Linked DNA regions of Arabidopsis thaliana. The protein of the gene in region 1 interacts with the protein of each later gene in a pairwise test. Each region holds a gene or a part of one and is shown on either strand. Other genes may lie near its edges.

Region 1 (4,786 bases):
GTTTATGCTACCGAGAACGGGATTGGGATATGCAACCCATTGTTGAGACAGATTAGATGGATCAAATCCAAAGTGAATTATCGTTACAATGGGGTGGGATACGACAATTCTAGACCCGAAAATCATTACAAGATCTTTGAGTCTTGCCCCTATAGCGATACAACCGTGAAAGCTAGTATCACCGAGTTTGTATCCGATGCATGGATTTCGAAACCGTACGAGTTTGCATATGATTGGGATTTTATGTCGTCCTATAGTGTATCATTGAATGGAGCTTTGTATTGGGTTGCTTTCCATATGGCGTCTGATGACCAGTTTATTCAAAGCTTTGATTTTTCTACGGAGAAATTTGAACCCTATTGTCTCTTGCCTAATAAAAAATGTGATCCAAGCAATGCTAGGTCCCTTGCAGTTTTTAGGGGAGATCGATTTTCGTATTTAGAGCAAAACTATGAGACAAGGAATATAGAGATTTGGGTAACAAAAAAAGAGATTAAAATTGAGAATGGAAAGGCTGTGGAGTGGATGAACTTGATGAAAGTGTCAGTTCCTAAATGGTCGAGTTTAAGAGTAATAAGCTATGATCCGCCAAGTTACTTCATCGACGATAAAACCCTCAGTCTCGCATTTGTGTTGTTTGAACAAGAAGGAAAAGGCTTGCATTTATATTGCCAAGGGAGATAAGTTCCATGAAATTATAATAAACGATTTGGTTGAGTATCCTACTCGTCATCACCGTACCTATGTTCCTAGTTTGGTCCCAGTTCCAACGTTCACGATGAGCAATAGAAGTAAAACGCAGCAGGTTGAGTCCCGCTTCACACCCCCTAGAGGAATACAAGCGAGCGATGGAGGAAACGAGTGGGACGACGGCATCTTCCACAATGTGAAGAAAATAAATGTAGGAGTAAATGATTTTGACACGGTCTTTGTCAAGTTTCACTACTCCAAATATAACCGGATTGAAGCCGGAGCAGGTCATGGAAATGCGACAACACATAATCCAGACGACGAAGTACGTGACGTGATGAGATTTCTTACTTCTTAATTTATTAGTTTCTAACTTATATATAGTTTTATCATACATATCATATGGATTTCTTGCATAGATTATGATCGCTGGAGGCGACTACATTGAAGCCGTCGAGGGGACCTACACTGAAAGCCATATCACCTCCATTACATTTCGGATGCGCAAGGGAGACATGATGCCACAGTACGGACGCTTGAACGGGACGCCCTTCTCGCTTCGAGGAGAACGAGGCTCCAAGGCCATCGGGTTTTACGGAAGAAGCTCTGGTGTCCACCTCACTGCTCTCGGCGTCCACTTCTCTCCACCCCCTCTATATTATTCGTTTCCTAACCATTCACCAGTTTTTAATTATTAATAATCATGCCAATAAAAAGTAATAATTCTTTTTTGGATATGAATATGATCGTTTTTCTTGAACATGCACGATTGAGTAAAATGGGAATATTACTGGCCGTGTTTTTTATTGGGTTCGCAAAAGCCTAATAAAAAAAGTTGGACTTATGAGTAAAATGGGAAATAGGGTTTTCCAATCCTTCTTTCTGAAACCCTAAACCGACAAGGCAAGCAAACAACAACGCTGCTATACAAATCCATCTATAAACTCTTTTTTTTCTTTTCGACCGTGTCCATTAAAAATATATGATGCAACCAGAGAACCAGCCGTGGGAATTGGAGGAAGAGATACTTTCTCACCTTCCAACAATTTTTCTCGCTCGATTGAAATCAGTTTGCAAACCAACTAGTGTTTAACTATTGCTCATACTCAGCAAACCATGCACCTACTCCAATATTTCAAACTTCTGATCTCTCCTTTAATGCAACATATGTAATAAACAACAAAATATACATGGAATGTCTCGGAAAAACACAAATCTATAGGGTATTTTCTGTAATAAGTAAAAATATAAGGAAAATATGTAAATAAACCAAACTACAAGGAATATATGTAATAATATGAAAAAGTAAAAAACAAAAAATCCTTTCTCTCTCGCTTCTCTTCTTCTCTGCCCCTCCTTAACACTCTTCTCGCCGCCGTTCCTCTCTCTGCCTCTTGAGCCTCCGGAGCTGGTGAAAAAAATCGTCTTTTCTATCTCCTTTGAAGGTAATTCAGCTTTTCGATTTCTCCAGATGCTCATATAGTTGTTTTATGCCAGTCGAATCGGATTATTTTCATGAAATTAAGAGTGTTTAGGGTTTGAATCTCCGTGTTTGTAGATGGCGAGCAATATTATCATGTTCGAGGATATCTTCGTGGTCGATAAGCTAGACCCTGATGGCAAAAAGTTCGATAAAGGTATCTACTTTTTTTTTTAACCTCAGTCACGATTTGTAATGCTTGTCATGGCTTAAATCGAGTTTCTGATATGAATCCTAGTTTCTTGTGTTTGTTTTAAGTTTTAGATAAATTGGAATCCAAGTTAGTGTGAAAAAGATCTCAACTTTTAAAATTTTAAGCCTCCTAAAGTTTGTTTGTTCTGACTTCAAATTGATTGCGTCTCTGTGTGTTTGTGGTAACACAGTTACGCGTGTTGAAGCAAGGAGCCACAACTTGGAAATGTTTATGCATTTAGATGTTAACACTGAGGTTTATCCATTGGCTGTTGGTGATAAGTTCACGCTGGCTATGGCTCCCACGCTTAATCTCGATGGAACTCCTGATACCGGATACTTTACTCCGGTACTGCATGCTTTTTCTATGTTAGATTTTTGGTGTATATTGCATACTCTTTTTTACTTGCTTGGATAAATCTCATGAATGGTTACAGTAAGTTAGGCCAGTTAACTTTTCTTAAGGTTTTGGTTGGGGCATACCATTAAGTGCTAATTGCTCGATATGACTAATTCCACTGGCTTGATTCAGGAGATAGGAATAAGACTAATCATATGAAAACTTGAGCAATACTTAGTCTCTTGAATATTGAATTAAAACCTATCTTTGAAAACCAAGACTGTTTTCTTTGATAATTTGAACATTCATTTAGTTTCCATGTCGCTCTATTACAAGAACATGTATTAGGATTTGATCTAATTGCTTAATAGAACAATTGCTTTGGCTTGATTCAGGAAGCCTATCTAGGAATAAGAGTAAACATGTGGAATTTGAGCAAGACTTAGTGTCTTGACTCTTGAATCATGAAACCAAGATTGTTGTTAGCTAATCTAATCTAGTTTCCATCTCGCTTTGTTACAGGGAGCAAAGAAAACACTTGCAGATAAGTATGAATACATCATGCACGGGAAGCTTTACAAGATCTCTGAGCGTGACGGCAAAACTCCAAAAGCGTAAGAATCCCATATACCTAGACCAACAAAATCATTTTTTCCCAAAGAGATCCAATTTAACTTACAGATCTAACCATCATGCTTCGGTTTCTATCTTGCAATTATGTGTTTGCAGAGAGTTATATGTTTCGTTCGGGGGGCTCCTGATGTTGCTTCAGGGAGATCCAGCTCATATTTCTCACTTCGAACTTGACCAGAGGCTCTTTCTACTCATGAGGAAGCTTTGAGATGCCATTGTCTAATCACTTTCCGAGAATATTCGCATAAAAACCGAATTAACAGAGAGCTTTCTTATAAAAGCTTTATCTTATGTTAAACTTTGCTATTATAAATACTATTTTCATGAAGCAACTCTTGTACATCCAATATTTAACTGTCCAATTGAATTATGCTTGTAGCTCAGAGCTGTTGATGAATGATGATAACCACTTGAGGCCAATAAGTTATAAAACAAACAGAGACAAAAAAATTGTTTCTTTTCTAACAACACTCTCACATGTGTTTAGTAATATTCTCTCTTTGAACAATAACACTAAGCCAATAAAACAAAAAAGTCAGTTTCTGGCGTAGCAGGAATTTTTCTTTGTGATAGTGAAGTTTTTGGAGTTGTTGTTACTCATGCTTGTATCCAGACGCCTTCCCACTTCTCCCAACTGTATGAGGCTCATGCGTATTATCGCTGTTTACCTCCAAACCATGATAAGCATGGCTGAGGAAATACTCGGATCCTGATTTTGCAGCTGTTTGATTTAGTGAGTGAGTTATGATTATTGCCTCTCAACTGCAATGCTTTCTCTGCAGCTTATACTAATGCCATTGGCTCTCATGTGTCCGTCTTCTTCTCCATTCTTTGCTTGATCTGCATCAAGTAGATTGTCAAACTCATGGAATCAAAAATGGCTTTGGTTGACTTAACAATGTATCAAGCTTTCTATGATACCGTTTGTTTTGTGATCTTCTAGGTAACCACCCTGAAAGAAGAAGATCCGTGGCTCCTCTGATCCGCTATATATGTGCTTCTGAAAAGTGGTTAGCAATTTGTGAATTGTGATCACTTGCGGCATTTAGGTTCATATTGGGTGTACGATTTTGGATTATAAAGAAAATCATCAAAACGTTCGTAGAACACAATTCACAAATTTATTGATTTAAACTAGAACGATACACGTAACTGATTCTTCTTTTTGCATGTCCAAAATTATCATCAAGACCGGACTAATCATCATAGGATACATGTGAAAGTTGCAGCCTCTTACATTTTCTCCGTAACTATTTTGCTGTCCTGCTTTTATCCCTACATTTTCTGAGAGAAAGTCTTCTGTCAGTGCTAGATTTCATACTTATTCCATGACTAAAGTTACTTTACTTCATTTCATAATCAAATAATATACTTTCTATTTAAATTATTATATAATTTGTTGACAAAAAAAATATAGGTATCTAAGAAGTAAAAAGTATATTTTTCATATA
Region 2 (6,709 bases), on another chromosome or scaffold:
TATTCTTAAGAATCTTCAATGACTTTAACCTCACCAGAATCAGCACCTGGTGATTTTTAACTCTTTTCACTTTTGTTTTTTAATGACTCTTCTAAAAAGATGTTCGTAATACAAAAAAATTAGCTTCCAAAACTTATAAAAGCTATATAGATCTTACTTTAAAAAATTAACAAATGCATTGAGCTCTTAATCACTTTCTAATGAATTCTTTTGTTCTACATATATCATGAATCATGACAAATAACATTCAATACCTACATACAACTTAACAAAATTACATTTTTTAATAAAAAAAGCCCGCGATTTGGTTCGGGTTTCGCCCTAGTACTAACTAGAGAAGAAAGAGATTTTCGAAGAAAAAATATGGAACATGTGAAAAGTTTAGAAGGTATGACACATATTGCTTAAACAAAATCATAAGAGGATGGAAAGAGACACTGTAAGAAAAAATGAAACAAATAAAACGAGTGCTTGCAAAAAGATAGGGAGAGTGATAGCTCTTTGTAAAAAAATTGTGAAGACAGAAATTCATATACATATTGAAAAGAATGTGAGAAAATATGAGTTGTTAAAGTAAAGTATAGATAAGCTTATGAATATACTTCTATATAATATCTTATTTTTAGACGAGCTATACTAACTAATGCAGCGAAGATAAACAAAAAAGAATAGTAAATTTACGGATTTCAAAATGAGAAAGTCGTCGAAGTTATTTTCCATAAAACAATTTATTTCATACATAAAAAGACGTCGTGATCCTAAATATCTAAAGCTAAAGAGAGAGTCATGAGCCAAAAAAATGTTCTTTTGATAAATGTTGTAAACCTAAAAGTTGTATTAAAGTTATTTTTAGTTTTGTATTTAAATTGTAACTATTGTCATGGTAATTTTAAAATTCAAAGAGTTTATAATATTAACAACAAGTAGACATATAAAAACATATCTTTTAAAAAATTTCTATAATAATTTTATTCACACAAAAAAATATTAAAAAGTTTTACAAATAGACCCATGCGTAGCGTGGATTCATAACCTAGGATTTAGAACGACTAATCGGGAGTTGCCACATAAATAATTAACATATTTAGTATCTAATTAATTAACATTTTTGAAAACAACCAATCGGGAGCTGCCACATCAATAATTAACATATTTAGCATCTAATTAATTAACATTTTTGAAAATAGCAATTACTTTATATTTTAAAATGTAAAAACAAAGGAACTAACAAATATTAAATTTAAACTTATAAAATAGGAAGCTATATAATTATAATTATGTAATAATAAACTCAAACCCTTATAGGATTTTATACAACTAATCCAACATTTTTTTAATATAACTTAAAGAAACGTAACAAGGACGTGGTTTGATGGTGGTGTTTTTAACTGTATCAATTTGAATCAAGTTCTCGAAGATATGCTCGTGGCAACTACCATGAGAATTCCACTTTTTCGGTCATGTGACAACCACACAAATTTCCGAGTTTCACGAGTTCAAAATCGGTGTTTCAACTCGTAACTTAGCCTTGAACGCATAAAAGCGAACTGAATGAATTAGAGTTGTAATGTTGTATTTATTTTTGTAGATTGTTTTAATCCGCTTCTTGCTAATCTCTGTATTTCTGTCAAAAATCAAAAATAATATAAAATCTAATTGTCTACCAAAAAAAAAATCATTCATAGTCCATGAGTAGAATCAAAACAAGATAGATTCAAACTTTATCAAGATAGATAAATAAGCTAAGAAATGAAATAGTTCCTCAAAACTAAATTTAGTGTCACCAAGAGGCAAGATCAAACTTTTCAAATAAGGGAAAGAAGAGAATTGCAACGTGATTAATTGATGAGGTCATAGTAAAAGTCAAAAATCTGTGTGACTCAAAACGGGTAAAAACAATAATTGGGATGTAGTTGATAACTCTAAAAAAAAAGGGACAAAAATGAGATTTGCATAAAGTAGAGATACAAAATTGAGAAGAAAAAAAAATCCTCTTCACTAAAAAAAAAAAAACTTCCGTTATCGATCTCTATCTCTCTCTTCCCCCACAAGGGTGGCGATTCGAGGAGTTTCCATGGTGGAACAGAAACCCTAGAGCCTTTATGCTGCCACTAATTATCACTCTTCACTATTGAATTGGGGATGGACTCAGAGAAAATCCTCAATCCAAGACTTGTTTCGATTAATAGCACCAGCCGCAAAGGTATGTCCGTTGAGTTGCCGCAGAAACCGCCGCCACCGCCGTCGTTGTTAGACCGGTTTAAAGCTTTGCTTAATCAGCGTGAAGATGAGTTCGGTGGTGGTGAAGAGGTTTTGCCTCCGAGTATGGATGAGATTGTTCAGCTTTATGAGGTTGTTTTGGGTGAGCTTACTTTCAATTCTAAGCCTATTATCACTGATCTCACTATTATCGCTGGTGAACAACGGGAACATGGTGAAGGAATCGCTAATGCTATTTGCACTCGAATCCTTGAGGTTTGCTTTCTTCTTATTTGTTTCCACTTTCTAGCCTTATTGTATAGTATGTAAGTGTAGAAGTGGGAAAAAAATTAGGTTTTTGATTGTCAGAGATTAGTGTTTGGTTTGTGGTTTAGTGAAATGGCTGCTTCTGAGTTACCTGTGGGTGTATATATGCAGGCTCCTGTTGAGCAAAAGTTGCCATCTCTGTATCTTTTAGACAGCATTGTTAAGAACATTGGGCGGGATTATGGTCGCTATTTCTCATCCCGTCTACCCGAGGTGAGCAGTCTACAAGAAGATGTTTACTTAAATGATTTGAATAGGGCTGAAGCATACCCATGAGCTGTTTTGATCCTATTCTGCTTTAGGTCTTCTGCCTTGCATATAGGCAAGCACATCCGAGTTTACATCCGTCAATGCGTCACCTGTTTGGGACTTGGTCGAGTGTTTTTCCACCACCTGTACTACGCAAGATTGATATGCAATTGCAACTTTCATCTGCAGCAAACCAATCTTCCGTAGGGGCTTCTGAGCCTAGTCAACCAACGAGAGGTATACATGTTAATCCAAAATATCTTCGCAGGCTGGAGCCCTCAGCCGCCGAAAATGTAAGCCTTTCTCTTTGTCATTATGAACAGAGATGACATTCTTTTTTTAGGTGCATCTGCAACCTTGAAGCTATGGTGTGTTAATTTTATATAAGTGTACTAAGTAAAACGGGTATTAGATTAGTTTGGCCTCATAGTGGTCTTATCCATTGTATTTCTTTAAAGTTTTGTTAGTTAGACGAGATAGATGTTTACATTCTTCAAGTAATCAATCTTGACTGGAAGGGAGTTGTTGTTATGGCCTCTCTCAGTTATACATGATGAGTAGGTCACTGGGACTCTGGTACATTAGAAATGATCTTGTTAGCACATGTAGAGGGTTTTTTTTTGGTTATAGTACAGTAGATCACTGTTTATGCATCATGTGTCGTTTGGAACTGTTTTTATATGTTTTTTTTCAAAGAGTGACTATACCTGAGATGCATATTTCCTTAATTGCTCTTGCTTGACATGCAGAATTTGAGAGGAATTAATTCCAGTGCAAGAGTTTATGGCCAAAATTCACTCGGTGGGTATAATGATTTCGAAGATCAGTTAGAGAGCCCATCTTCACTGTCTAGTACACCAGATGGTTTTACCAGGAGGTCTAATGATGGAGCTAATCCTTCTAATCAAGCTTTTAACTATGGAATGGGTCGAGCTACTAGCAGAGATGATGAACATATGGAATGGCGAAGAAAGGAAAACTTAGGCCAAGGAAATGATCACGAAAGACCTAGAGCGTTGATAGATGCATATGGAGTTGACACCAGCAAACACGTAACGATCAATAAACCAATTCGCGATATGAATGGCATGCACAGTAAGATGGTTACACCATGGCAGAACACTGAGGAAGAAGAGTTTGATTGGGAAGATATGAGCCCTACCCTAGATCGTAGCAGAGCTGGTGAATTTTTGCGATCATCTGTACCAGCATTAGGAAGTGTAAGGGCAAGACCCAGAGTAGGAAACACAAGTGATTTTCATTTAGATTCTGACATTAAGAATGGTGTAAGTCATCAGCTACGAGAAAATTGGAGTTTGTCACAAAATTATCCACATACATCCAACCGTGTTGATACAAGAGCAGGAAAAGACTTGAAAGTATTGGCTTCATCTGTAGGGTTAGTTTCATCAAACAGTGAATTCGGGGCTCCTCCATTTGATAGCATTCAAGATGTTAACTCACGTTTTGGCCGGGCTCTTCCTGATGGGACATGGCCCCATTTGAGTGCTAGAGGACCCAACTCTCTCCCTGTACCTTCTGCTCATTTGCATCATTTGGCAAATCCCGGTAATGCGATGTCAAATCGCTTGCAAGGTAAGCCTTTATATAGGCCCGAAAACCAGGTCTCTCAGAGTCATCTTAATGATATGACTCAACAGAATCAGATGCTAGTTAATTATTTGCCATCCTCATCTGCTATGGCTCCAAGGCCAATGCAATCGTTGTTAACCCACGTAAGTCATGGGTACCCTCCACATGGGTCAACCATTAGACCATCTTTATCAATCCAAGGTGGGGAAGCCATGCATCCTCTTTCTTCAGGAGTTTTATCTCAGATAGGAGCCTCTAATCAACCACCAGGTGGCGCATTCTCTGGTCTGATTGGCTCTCTCATGGCTCAAGGTTTGATCTCATTGAACAATCAGCCTGCTGGTCAGGTAATTATTCAAATCATGTCCTTGAGAGTCGGTTTGTTCTTAGTTATTGCTTTATCTTGAATTGTTGGTTTATATATTCAGGGACCATTGGGGTTGGAGTTTGATGCAGACATGCTCAAGATACGTAATGAGTCTGCAATCAGTGCTTTATATGGGGATCTCCCGAGGCAATGCACAACCTGTGGTCTACGCTTCAAGTGCCAAGAAGAGCACAGTAAGCACATGGATTGGCATGTAACCAAGAACAGGATGTCCAAGAACCATAAGCAGAACCCTTCTCGGAAATGGTTTGTAAGTGCTAGCATGTGGCTCAGTGGTGCAGAAGCACTTGGAGCTGAAGCAGTACCAGGGTTCTTGCCCACGGAGCCAACAACAGAAAAGAAGGATGACGAAGATATGGCAGTTCCTGCAGATGAAGACCAAACTTCATGTGCATTATGTGGTGAGCCATTTGAAGACTTTTATAGTGATGAAACCGAGGAATGGATGTACAAAGGTGCGGTATACATGAATGCTCCTGAAGAATCAACAACAGATATGGACAAGTCTCAGTTAGGTCCTATAGTGCATGCAAAGTGCAGGCCAGAGTCCAATGGGGTAAGCCATTCCATGCATTTTCATTAGCTTCATTTGTGTCTAGTTGAATCCATTTTCATTTTCGCTGCTAGACATTTATCCAGTGACGACCTCTTGATTTCCCGATCATGGCTTTTTCAGGGTGATATGGAAGAGGGTAGTCAGAGGAAAAAGATGCGGAGTTAGATCCCTTAGACCGAATTTTAGGTCTTTTTCTTGACTACATTTAAGTTACATTCTTATTTCTTCATCATCTATATGCACTTAGTCACAGAATACCACCAATGAAGAGAAATGATGGAGAGAGTCTTCTTTCTCCTAAAACTGTACCATTGAAAAAAAGAGGTTTACACCCACATATATTATCATTCTTTATGCCTCTAAATTCCTGTTGTGCCTTAGGACATGGATATCGTGTAACTGTTCTGCATTCTCTGCTACACCTAACCTGGGGTGCTTGTAGTAGTAAAATCAGATGTCGCAACAGTAGTTTCCCCATGTAAATGGAATACAATGTCTCTGTTTCGGATTGTCTTTTTCTTTTTCATCTTTAGATATTGCAGGGAAAGCCCGAGAAGACTGATATTCGAATGTGAACAGATTTCTTATGATGAATGGATCTCATAGATGCTGTTGCTAAGAGAACCAGTTTCAGGTTTCTTCTTTAGAGCTTTCCCTGTCTGAGTTTTACCTTTCTATGTTAGGCTGTTAGCTAAAAATGTTAGTTAACATAACTCTCTTTAAGCGTATTTGTTCTCTTGACTTTGTCTATAATGAAACAAGTTTTACTTTTCTTCTATCTGAACCTTTTGCTTTTGAAATTTCCACTACTTGTATCTTCATACCTACATGATACAGAGCCGGATTTATGTCGAAGTAGATTGAACGATAGTTAAAGCTTTCGAACTTACTTGGCTTTTTGCTCGATCAAACTAGAGTTTTTTCATGACTGTTACATTTGAAATATGGAATTATAAAGATTTAAAGGTTATGATTTAGTTCTGGTAGTACCTTATAGGACTGCAGAGCAAACTCAGTTCAAATCTGGCTTTGTCTCAACCGTTAGTCTCTAAACAAGAGTATGTGATGATCAATAGATGTAATGGCTGGAGTAAAATTCATGTTTGTTATATACATTGTGAAAATAGTCTATTATAGTATGAATATAAGAAAACAGCTTGCAATATGCAATATGAACTAAGCTAGAACAAAAGATCAGGTTAAGAACACACATCATTGCCCTTTTATTTTGCCTTTGTTAGAAAATTGGACCGTTGGTTGAATGGGATAAGAGAGAGCTAACAGAAACTAGTAGTGTACTAATAACAAAGATTTTAACTCCATATCTGTCAAGTGCAACAAAAGGGCTTACAATACAAAACAACAAAGAAACTGACAACTTGGGTCGGAGAACGCAA

Evidence for each region.
Region 2: the proteins of NRPB8B (region 1) and PCFS4 interact in a two-hybrid assay, tested with the Arabidopsis thaliana proteins (one study listed by BioGRID).

What each region holds. Positions count from the first base shown.
Region 1 is NC_003074.8:22,014,381-22,019,166, forward strand, and holds NRPB8B (RNA polymerase Rpb8), read left to right. Parts: upstream 1-1,995; 5' UTR 1,996-2,135; intron 2,136-2,248; coding exon 2,249-2,327; intron 2,328-2,553; coding exon 2,554-2,711; intron 2,712-3,224; coding exon 3,225-3,316; intron 3,317-3,431; coding exon 3,432-3,543; 3' UTR 3,544-3,981; downstream 3,982-4,786. Other genes in the region: AT3G59590 (jacalin lectin family protein), read left to right, coding at 1-570, 650-1,015, 1,110-1,388. UniProt on the Arabidopsis thaliana protein: DNA-dependent RNA polymerase catalyzes the transcription of DNA into RNA using the four ribonucleoside triphosphates as substrates. Component of RNA polymerase II which synthesizes mRNA precursors and many functional non-coding RNAs.
Region 2 is NC_003075.7:2,469,941-2,476,649, forward strand, and holds PCFS4 (PCF11P-similar protein 4), read left to right. Parts: upstream 1-1,925; 5' UTR 1,926-2,142; coding exon 2,143-2,475; intron 2,476-2,637; coding exon 2,638-2,739; intron 2,740-2,828; coding exon 2,829-3,068; intron 3,069-3,524; coding exon 3,525-4,715; intron 4,716-4,796; coding exon 4,797-5,312; intron 5,313-5,432; coding exon 5,433-5,477; 3' UTR 5,478-6,085; downstream 6,086-6,709.